Drosophila melanogaster: one gene and its partners. The protein of the gene in region 3 interacts with the protein of the main gene of each other region in a pairwise test. Each region holds a gene or a part of one and is shown on either strand. Other genes may lie near its edges.

Evidence for each region.
Region 1: the proteins of Cpr49Ah (region 3) and Nup133 interact in a two-hybrid assay, tested with the Drosophila melanogaster proteins (one large-scale study listed by BioGRID).
Region 2: the proteins of Cpr49Ah (region 3) and CG10254 interact in a two-hybrid assay, tested with the Drosophila melanogaster proteins (one large-scale study listed by BioGRID).

What each region holds. Positions count from the first base shown.
Region 1 is NT_033777.3:22,688,487-22,692,239, reverse strand, and holds the start of Nup133 (nucleoporin 133kD), read right to left. Parts: upstream 1,634-3,753; 5' UTR 1,541-1,633; coding exon 1,365-1,540; intron 1,310-1,364; coding exon 1,135-1,309; intron 1,075-1,134; coding exon 571-1,074; intron 520-570; coding exon 207-519; intron 152-206; coding exon 1-151. Other genes in the region: wfs1 (wolfram syndrome 1), read left to right, coding at 1,944-2,007, 2,067-2,165, 2,223-3,753. UniProt on the Drosophila melanogaster protein: Probable component of the nuclear pore complex (NPC). Plays a role in NPC assembly and/or maintenance.
Region 2 is NT_033777.3:23,693,047-23,696,799, reverse strand, and holds the start of CG10254 (uncharacterized protein), read left to right. Parts: upstream 1-1,816; 5' UTR 1,817-1,847; intron 1,848-2,073; exon of another isoform or gene 2,074-2,274; 5' UTR 2,275-2,351; coding exon 2,352-2,777; exon of another isoform or gene 2,778-2,794; intron 2,795-2,938; coding exon 2,939-3,201; intron 3,202-3,260; coding exon 3,261-3,465; intron 3,466-3,652; coding exon 3,653-3,753. Other genes in the region: prt (portabella), read left to right, coding at 1-48, 115-207; CG10252 (uncharacterized protein), read left to right, coding at 638-656, 718-936, 997-1,183, 1,255-1,519.
Region 3 is NT_033778.4:12,411,868-12,415,620, forward strand, and holds Cpr49Ah (cuticular protein 49Ah), read left to right. Parts: upstream 1-2,094; 5' UTR 2,095-2,194; coding exon 2,195-2,206; intron 2,207-2,425; coding exon 2,426-2,986; 3' UTR 2,987-3,303; downstream 3,304-3,753.

The DNA of each region.
Region 1 (3,753 bases), on a different chromosome or scaffold from region 3:
ACTTTAGAAGTATACAAATAGATGTGGCTGCTGCCTACTACAAAACGCACGCTGAGGCAATCCTCCTCAGTCTTGGCACTAAAGAATTTGTTCATATTGAGCGGCGTGAACGATTCCAGAAGCATTCTTTCAGCTTGAGCAGTGCCAGTCACTAAAATACTTAACATTATATACCATATCAAGATTTGCTGTCACATACTTCTTACCCAGAGCGTAGCACATTTGTGGAGCGTGAGCAGCATTCACAGCTCCAGCCAGTATATAAGCTTTGTTCTTAACCACGTGAAAGTCCAACAGATGGAGATCGATCTCCAAACTATCCGCTGGGAGTCGGAACTTCCAAAAGTTCGTTATAAACTCTTCGCGTATCCTGCGCAACATATCCGCATCCTCGTACAGAAGGTTTTCGGTGTTGCCATTGTTGGACAGACTCCAGCGCTGGATTGCACGATCAGAGAGCACGGCCACAATGGTTTCTCCACTTTCTAAATTGCTCTCGCAGCACATGCCGACCAAAGTCTAAAAAACACTTCATGAGATTTTTGTCCCATGCTGGACGAAGATACTTACTTGATCCTTGTCTGCACCCGTGTTCATTCCAATCAAAATGGAGGCAAACTTTTTGCCAAAACCACCAAGGAAGCTAGTGGCAGGCTTGATAGTCTTATGGTGAAGTGTGTAACGTCCGTTGGTCAGTCCGACTCGCAGGAATACCAGATTGCAGGTGGTTGTAACGGCTAGGTAGCCCTGCTGCGTTGGTAGACTGAGCAGCTGGACAAACTCTTGGCCAGTTAAGATGGAAAGATCCACGGAGTTCCCATCGTGCGCAATCGATGACCAGTACCGAACTTCTCCCGTGGCTGATACCGCTATGCAGGAGGCCATTTGCTGACCCTCCGTCTGGAAAACACTGATTAAATCACTCTTGTGACCCAGGTCACTGTAAGGTAAAGTCAATTCACGGCACTGGGCCAGACCACCACCACGTCTTGCCAGTTTGCCCACACGAGGTGGCGAGCCCGACTTGGCCGTGTCCTTATACTGCCAAATCAAGAGGCGTCTGCCTTGGACAACCTGAAAAGGTAATCGTACTGATTGCTGAACCAGATACAATGAGAGTTGCTGATATATTACCCAAGCCCAACCGTTTTGCGTCACTTTGGCTGTTACTGTGCCCGCTCCTGGACCTGCGAAGGTTAGTGCCTCATTGACCACCACCGGCAGTGGACAACCGAAGCTCTCTACCGAATTGTAATCGGATCGGATGCCGGCAATGGACTGAGTGGAACGCACCGACAAGCTGAGCCGGCTGAAAAGGATTGTTTGATGAGTGGGAAATTCCAGGAGAATAAGTTAGCACATACCTGTTGGTCAGGGCAGTCCTTTTGAGGCTCCCCGACATCTGGGCGCAACTGGCGCTGCCGCCAAAAATTGATTTACGCGTGCTGTCTGCCGAGGCTGCTGGCATGCTGTACCTTCGTGCACCTGGTGAAGATTCGCGCGATATGCCGTATAATTGCTTCTGCAGATTTCTCTCCATTTTTGTGCTGGCTCTTATTTGGGAAATGCCTATAAATCAAAAATAAACAACTACTTTTGCAACAGCAAACAATCTAGCCGGCATGTGTGTGAATCGATTTTTGATGTCGCAATATCGAAATCACAGCTGAGTACATTTGAGTTATTTATCGATTAGAAGTCACGACATTATACACAAAGAACACAAATTTAAATATAGGAAATTATTTATACTACATAAATGTATTTTATATACTATATACGATGAATAATTAAACTTTGGTAAACAAATTTTTAAATTAATAATTATATTAACTAATATTTGTGAGTCCATCTCTAAGACAAGTTCTACACGATGCCATCGCTAAGTCAAGACTAGAATTATTTCATAGATTTTCGTAAACAAAGCGAAAAACTCGACATAGATGGCCACCTGGACGCAAAATGAGCCGACAGGTGTCACCAAGCGCAGGCGTTGGAATCTGGAAGGTAAATCTCTGAGCTTTGATTGATACACGTTCATAAAGTGAAGATGTTTTCCCTTACAGATCGTGCCTCCTTGAACAAACTTAAGCATCACATCGCCGAGGAGGGATGCCCCCAGATGCAATACGATCTGGCCAAAGAGTTACTCGATAATTCCATAGGTGAGTGTAAGGATTTGCTCGAGAATTACAAGATAATGAAGATTGCTATGTCCGCAGTAGAGCCCAATCTTGCCAAAGGCAATCAGAGCCAGAAGGCCGTCAACTGGCTGGTGAGTGCAGCACACAATGGACACGAGGATGCAGTCAAGCTGCTACGCCAGTGCTACAACGATGGCAGCGGTATTACGGCAGAGAATACGGACGAAGTGCGTCGCTGCCTGGCTATGACGCCTGGTGAGCGGGCTGCCAGAAAAGCAGCCCGGGAGCTTTTTGCCTGCCTATCAAATGGAAACGAGCATATAACGCCCAAGCAGCTGGAGCGCAAAATGCGGCGCATCTACAATCTGCAACGCAAGCGGCGTCGACGCGATGATGACCGCTCCTCGTCGAGCAGCGAGGGCGAGCAGGAGCCGGAGTGCGAACCGCTCGAAGATGTGCCCACCATTGACCTAGCCAATGTGGAGCGACGCCGCCTCATCACCGAAGCTCACCTCGTTTCGGCAGCTTCCAATTACAGTGCCGGACAAATGCCCAGCGTTAATGATGCTCTCACATTATCCGTCCCGGATCCTAGGAGCTTGGACCATGTACCCTGCTTCTACCGCATGATCTTCCACCCGCTTATCTTCTTCACCCTGTTCTACCACCGGCTGCTTAACTTGATTGTGTCCATACCCAACGTCATCCCTCTGAGCGTGCGCTGCAGCGTGCTCGTTGCAATCTCTTGGTGGAGCAGCCGGCATATGCTGCCCCTGGTCAGCTATTATCTCAGTCTGGGCATCATGATCTGGGCCACGTGTAAGATGCTGAAAACCAAACAACAGTTCGTGGACTTTCGCATCTGGTCGGGACTGTTCCTGAGCTACGGGGATCAGAACATCGAGGCGGACATTGCGGAGCATCGCTTTTTACGCAACAATATGAAGCCGTACCTGTACTTCTTTTGTGCCTTCATTTGCAACCTGATTGTCTACCCGTTGGTCACAGACGCCTGGCTGCCACACTCGGAGCTGACTATAATCTCTGGAGCCTTGACCTTCATCACCATGTGCGTGTCCATGTACGCCTCCTCCCACCAACTGCCTGACTGGCTAGTGATTGTTTCCTTTGCCGTAAATGTTCTTGCCAAATATCCGTACGAAATGGACGAGGTTGTGTCTACGCGCTGGCGCTTTCTTGACCTACGCGTACCTACTTTCTCATCGTTTGTCATTGGCAATGGCATTGAATTCTGTTTGAATTGCCGCACTGCCTTGTATCTCTTTATTCCGGTGCTGCTAATTATGATGGCCAAACGCTCCCGTTGGCATGGAGTCTACACATTCCTCATCCCGCACTGCGTCACGCTCAGTTGGCTGCAAGTGTGCATAGCCACCTCGCAGAGTTCCACCGTTTTTGGAGTGATGCGAGCAGCCCTCGGCTTGGCTGGAATCGTCCTGTTCCTGCCTCTGTTCGGAATCGTGGCACTTCTGGTGCCTGTCTTCGTGGCCATCGATAGTTTAGGACTGGCTAGTGAGCAGCTTCGGTGGGGCAGCACAGCTCTCGCCTGCGGGCTGGTAGTGGTCCTGTCCTGCATTTTGGCGCTTAA
Region 2 (3,753 bases), on a different chromosome or scaffold from region 3:
ATTTATGGCCCAATATTGGTCTACTTGCATCAGAAATACGATCCAAAGGTATCAACATTTTTTATATTTTTCGATTAAGCCGTCACTATTTATATGTGTTTTTTTTTTTAACAGGCCCTTAGGGAACAGCATAATGATATGCTGCTCCAAAGCAGCGGGCGGGGATCTAGGTATAAACAACTTTACAACTCCATGGATGTGGAATAAGCTGTACTGCCCAGTTGTCCAGCAAAATAGCAAACAACCTTGAGTGTGCAAATAAGGCGTTCCTTTGGCTCAATAAAGCAATATATCTGGAGCTGATTTTCGTAAACAATTTATTTTTCCGATAAAATTCGAATCTCCTATTATTAAAATCACTTTGCCATGTCTTGAAGTAACTTAGGTTATTATGATCAAATTTTCGGAATAAAAAGAATTACGTAATTAATATTTGAATGGGTTATGTGTGAAGGAATTACGGTGGTAAAACTTTTCTATAACAAGTGTGCTATGGCTCTGACTTCGAATGGAGCTGCGATGTGAAGTTCTATGAAAGCCTCATTCTGCTACTGGAATCTGTTCGGCCAACACCTAATATTGGGTTCTAAATTTTCAAAATAGATTTTCTTTCTAATATTGCACAAAACTAACAAAAATGGCGGTGCGACCTTTTGGTGAGTGAGAATTCATAAAATTGTAATGTGGTAAATAATATATTATACATGCTTTTTGTAGGCCCTGGACCCGGCGTTTACATGCTGCCCCCCACTGTGGGCTATGATAAGCATGACAACCGCAAACAGCGGTTGCCGCAGTACTCTTTCGGCATGCGCACCCGTGCTCCTGGTGAGGATCTGGGTCCTGGTCCAGGGGCCTACAAGGTGGACAAGTTGACTCGCTATGGCACGAGCAAGGGTTTGGAGTTCTCGATGGCGCCCAGAACCAATGTCATCGGTAAGATAACTTATTAGTACTGAAGACAAGAACGTTTTTGGTTAAATTGCTTAATCGTAGATAAGCGAAGCAGTCCCGGTCCGGGAGCACACGATGTTCATAATAGGCCATTCTTTAAGGGGGTTAATGCTCCTTCGTATTCGATGGGCCTACGAACGGACTTTAACTTCAAGAAGGATGGTCCCGGTCCCAATGCCTACAAGTACGAGGTCAATGCCGTTCGTCCTGGAGTCCCGAGCTATAGCATGTGCGTATTTCAATCCTACCATAGTTATTCCTTTACTAAGTTGCCTATTTTTATTTGTACCTGTATCTCAGGGGACTACAAACAAAGATTTTGAACAAGACGAATTCTCCGGGTCCGGCTGCATATGGCGGTGGTGATATCAATGTCAAACTGACACGTGCTCCGATATACTCGATGCAGCCGCGCACCACTATTCCGGGCGAGAATGTCGGACCTGGACCCAACTACTACGACCTCATGTACTATCGTCCTGGCAAGAGTGGACCGGGCTACTCCTTTGGTGTGCGCCACCACCAGTTCGCTCCGCCTATGATAGTTAGATGTGACAATATGTAGACCAAGTGCAATATTGGAAGAAATATATGCTAAAATTTTTGTGAATAAACAATTCTTTTTAAACCAAGTTTCATTGTTTATGGAAAATGCTTAACGGGGTATTAAAATGAGATTGAATTTGTTTTAACTTGGTAGAACGCAATGAGCGTTACCTTTATTGGAAAAGGAAGGGAGCATTTTGATGCTAGTGCGCCTATGATGTGATACACTTGGCTCTGTACATGTCTAAAATACAAGTAGTCCCTGAACGATGTGTCAAATTAACATTTGATAATAGAAATTTTTGGAAAAAGCACATTTACATTTACATTATTATATCAACGTAACGGTGAGTTTTTAGGCAGACAACAACACGCGTTACTATTTTACGGAATTGAGAGTAACTGAATTTGTATTTAGACTATCCCATTTCAATTTCGCGGGCAAATGCTCATCTTGTTTCAACCGTTGTTTTCTCTTAACAGAGCGCTGTTATCAAGATAATGGTTCGAGTGCTCGCTTAAAGGCACTGGAACTCGGAACCATTGATTTTATCTAACTCCGGTATTTTTCAGTCACAAAATTCTTTTTATCAAAGTTTCTCGTTTTGTTTGTAGATTTTGCCTGTTTTATTTATAGTTTTTCGAAAGAAGTTGGCGAAATTGTCCAAGCAAATTTATAGTTTGCTCCAGTGTCCGTAAATTAGATGTGTGTTTGTGTGTCAGTGGCTCGTCGGGCATATTATAGGAATTTGTAATAATTAGTGGCCAATAAAGGGAGAAGAAATATATTCACCGAGCATTCGCCACGGCAAAGTTCTTGCCGTCCATGTTCCCAGCTTACGATTGGTAACATGATGAGCGATGTGGCGGGTGCGGCCGCTCCAGGTGGTACACCAGGTCAACCGCAGCAGGAGCAGGAACAGTCTTTGGCGGAGGCTGCTCCGCGTACACCGACGCTTGCGAATCCTCCTCCATCCTCACAGGAGCTGGGTCGGACCCCCAACCAGGAGAGCCGCCATAACGCAAATTCCCACTCCCGTCGATCGGGTGGTGGCCAGGTGCCATCGAAAGCCCAGGGTAACACCGAGTCCCAGTTCTTCTTAGAGGATGGGGTTTTTCGCATTGATCGGCGCGGTCGCGTCCATTTTGGCTTGGTAACCGCAACGACCGAGACCTATTCCTCCTCCGAAGAGGAAGATGTCGATTCGCTGTCCAGGGGCGAGGTGCGTGTGGCCTTCTATCCGGGTGGCAAGGAGATGGTGATGACGGAACAGTCGGTGAGTAAACTCCATTGAGGTTATGTAAGTCTCACGGTCTCTCCAAAAAAATAACTGTTTTCACAACTGTTTTGAGTTTGCTCTTCAAGTTCTTTTGACACGTGTTTGTTTGCTTCTTTTCTTTTGTTCCATCGACATCCGAACATGTGGCATATACACAGATTGGTCTGGCGGATCGCACCCTAATGCCAGGCGATGTGGTGCGGAGGCGTCTGCCAGGAGAAAACGTTTTGGCTGGCCAGGCGGGCTACGTGCGGGATGTCAATGTACGCGCCGATGTTATGGTAATGGGCTCCAGAATGGTCATTAAAAATGTGCCCGCCGAGCGACTGCGTCCGATATCCGAGTGGAACCAATATGTGCCTCTCTGCATGGACACCTGGATAGGCACCATCATAGACATTAATGAGTGCGCTGTGCTCAAGTATGTTTCATATCTCTCAATCAACTCGGGCGAACATTATTTTCAATATTTTTTTGCAGATCATCCAACGGTGCCCGTGTGGAAATCACCTCCAACGATTTCCACAAGTTTAAGGATGCTGTGTCCGAATGCGATCGCACGGTCTTCAATCCGAATGTCTTCTTTCCAGGAAACATTGTAATCGGTCGCATGCCGCCCCCGGATCGTGTCAAGAATCTGACCCCGGAGATTACCCATCCCTTAACTCGCAAGGGTCGTGCTGTGGTAGGGAGATATTAATCCTTTATAGATTTGTAGTCTCAGATTGACCGATTGTATATACTAGTTACGCTATTATTTTATGTAGCATTCGCCCTAGTTTGATTTGTCATAGTAGATTAATTACATTTTTACTTAACTAAAGAAGGCCCTCCCATACTATCGCTAATTGAAAATAACCTTATTTATCCAGTACACCGTGGAGTCTGTAGAAACTACATCAATTAATGTGGATTGGTCCTGCCGTGCAATCGGAAATGCCACGGGCAGCGATGACACAGACAGCGATCCTCT
Region 3 (3,753 bases):
GAGCATTATTTACGAGTCAAGCTCAAGATTGGCCGCATCGACAAGGCATTTCATTTCACAACCGACACGGCAGCAGCCTGAATATTTATGGCCAGCAACGTGGTTCTGTTAGCCAAGTTGGCTCTCTGCCATAAAGCCAAATCCGAACGGAATGGAACGGAACCCAAATGTCAAATGTTGTTCATAAGAACGACAAATGCTAAGAATGTAAGGGTGAAATCGTTTGACATTTGCAGATGCTGCAATTTCCCCATGCCGGCAGCAACAGGTCAATGTGTGAGTGGGCCACAGTTGTGGGTAGTGGGATGGGGGTTCGGTTTCATGGTGAGCATTTGCGCATCTGTGGTGGTGCACTCGAAAGCTAACCTTGCCCAGCTTTCGTTTTTTATTTTCATTTTCGCCCGTGCGTGGAACTGCAACTCTACGAGTTGCACAACCTGCAATGCATCATCAGCAACAGCAGCAACATCACCACACACGGCAGCAACATTGCAAACCGGGGGCTTGGCGGGCGTTTGACTTGGTGTCGTGGGTGCGGAAGACGAAGAGTTGGCCAAAATACGATGGCCCAGAGGGAGGAGGAGTCGTTTGTCGCAATAGGCGTTGGAGTTTGGCAGCATTTCGGGCTTTATTGCCGGCACTTCGTCGGTTGTTGCACTCGCTGTATATTGTCCCTTGCAAGTTGATCGTCTCCTATGATTGAATTTTTCTCTTATTTCTTACAACGCCTAATATTTGTTTATTTGTTATCTTTGGCCGAAAATGCACTGTAGATTAACCCAATTGTTTGGCAACTAATTAACATTTGCCAAGACACGGGCCCGCTTTGAACTCAATTATCGTCTTGCCTCATCTGCCAGGCACTTTGGCTGTTACAACAATTCGCGCTTCGCTGGTGTTGGTATTGGGTCCGCCAAACTGCCGCAATTACAAGAATGCGAATCCAAATCTAAGTCCGAGTGCGAATCTCAAAATGAATCCGAAACCGAAGCCGCGAGGGAGCAGCATCTTGGATGCACTTCAAATGCGATTCAGTCGCAAGAGAGAGAGAGAGAGAGAGCCGACTGTCGCTTTTGGCCAAGTCAACAACGAAAGCAAAGCAAAAAAAACTCGTTCTGGCATGTTTCTAAATAACGGCATTGCGAAGATGAACGACCGGACGCGCTGGCGGGGGACGGACATTTCGCAGACATTTGAGCCGGGCCTACGAGCGGGCCAAATACGAACAGCGACAATAAGCCGGGCTAAGATGGGTGCCGGTATAAAAGGGGCTTAACAAGGCAAAACGACTCTTCATAAATAAGTAATATATAAGAAAGTTTAATAGATAAGATATTTTTAATATAAAATGTTTAAAAAAAACATTTCATAAGAATTTTCTTGCGTTAAAACAAAAGACTTAGGAAACGAACTTGTTATTTCAATAAAGTATCCCAAGATTAGGGCATGAGAAAAAGGGAAAAGGTCAGAAGCTATTAAAATTAAACATTTTTAGAGCTGATTTTGCTTTGCGAAAAGAAATAATTTGTTTTTTACTGTGTGCGCATTTGCAATTTTTTCGTTTTTTTTTCATTATATAATAATGACGGTATCAAATTTTACAAAAGGCGAACACAAATTATTAATCCAAAATTATTATGGAATGTTAGCTTTATCCTTATAGTTTGTCATAGTTCTGGATTCCTTTTAAAATCATACTGCCTCAGCCTCTGAAAAAGCCTCAAACGAGAGCGACAGTGAATTGTTTTTTTTTTTACGATTTTAGCATTTAAGCGTCGTCGAGCCTACGAACAACAATTACCGATCGGTCGGATCAGACAGCTAACAAAAAATAAGAGCTTCCATGGCAAATTCCACTTCCACTCCCATCCCCTCCCATCTTCATCGGCAACTGCAACTGCATATCCATCTGCAACTTCATCTCCATTAGAAACTCCATCACCAGCAGAAATAGCAAATGCACGCTCTCCCATGGAGGCTCACCTGTGTGGGTATGGACACGAGTGCAACAGGAGGATCGGATCGGGTCGGAGCAGAGCGAATCGCCTATATAAGACCAAAATAGGGCCGCGCTTGGCACAGTGTCTAACGGAGCTGCTTTCACTAGCCAGTGCGATCAGTGCCAGCCAAACGGGCGACAAAGCGGGCCAAATCAGTGGAATACAGTGGATAAGCGGCAGAGACTCCTTGCGAAATGAAAGTGCTCGTAAGTGGTTCACATAACCAATCACATAAAATCGGTCAAGTGATTCTCGATGAATGATTGGCAAACATTGCAACAGTTCGATCTTCTCAAATATAAAATTTATTGGTTTACATTACATCTAAAGGATAGGATTAAATATTCTTTTTTGTGATTACTTTGTTTGGAAATCGTAATGACTTGCATGTGTTAGTAAGCTTAAGCTAATATTTATCCTTTCAGATACTTCTTGTGCTGTTGGCCATTTCCTGCCAAGGACAACACCACCATCAACATCAGCACCAAAATGTGAACAACATACCACGCGATGACAAACCAGATCATCATCGTCATGAAGATCACAGAGAGACCAGCACCTGGATACCCATAATCAAGTACAACAAGGAGCAGAGTGACGATGGAAGCTACAAGACAGAATACGAGACGGGCAATAGCATCATTCATGAGGAAACCGGTTTCCTCAAGGACTTCGACACCAATCCAAATGGGGTGTTGGTTCAGCATGGCCAGTACTCCTACCAATCCCCCGAGGGAACTCTGGTCAATGTGCAGTACACGGCCGACGAGAATGGATTCAGGGCCACAGGTGATCACATTCCTACTCCGCCGGCTATTCCCGAGGAGATACAGAAGGGTTTGGATCAGATCTACGCTGGCATTAAACTGCAGCAGGAGCGTCTGGAGCAGAGGGCCAAGACAGATCCAGACTTTGCGAGGAAACTGGAGGAGCGACGCGTGGCCAACCAGAATGGCCAGTACATCGGTCTGCTGGAGAACCAATAGACGAGCTCCGCCCATTCCATTCCCCCACCGAACCGATGATCCTGGAAACGTAACTTCTTCGCATTCTATATCAACAACAACAAGACTGTGATTTCATTCTGCAAGCTCTTCCAAATCCAAATCGCTGTACCACACTGAATGATAATCGTTTAATAACTTTTGAATTTCCCACTAAGTACCATAAAACCAACAGACAGGGGCGCTCAATCAAATTAATAATATTTTATTAACGAGTGTGAAAGTTTCGCTGCTTTGAAACAATAAAAGTAAACTAACGTTTCCATTATGCCGAACCGACTTGATGATGGACTTACCATATTTTCTGGCATTATTTTTTTCCGTTTTACAGCTGACCATATCCACGATGTTCAGACAAACGTGACAAAGCGTTTATGGGTCCTCATTATTTTCTCAAAGTATTTCCCCATTTACCGTGCATCTTTCGTTGCTTTATTATTTACTTCGCAGATCGAATTACGTTAGTTTGTTGATCCCATTCCATGCAGGTTGGGTTTTCCAATTTTCCATATTTCTACATCGCCGCCATGGAAATTTTCTTTCGAGAGGAGTCTCTCGACTGGTTGCCAGTTGCATAATTACGACAGATTTTCCAGTGCCATTCGACTTGTCTTCGCGGGCAGGCGTTGCATGTGGAAAGGCTGAGGAAGCCAGTTGAAGTGGTCCACGAATGGGTTACTGGCGTAGCCCCGATTTCGCGCCGAGAAACCTCTTCGTTCTGCCAATTATTGTATTTAACGTAGGCTACC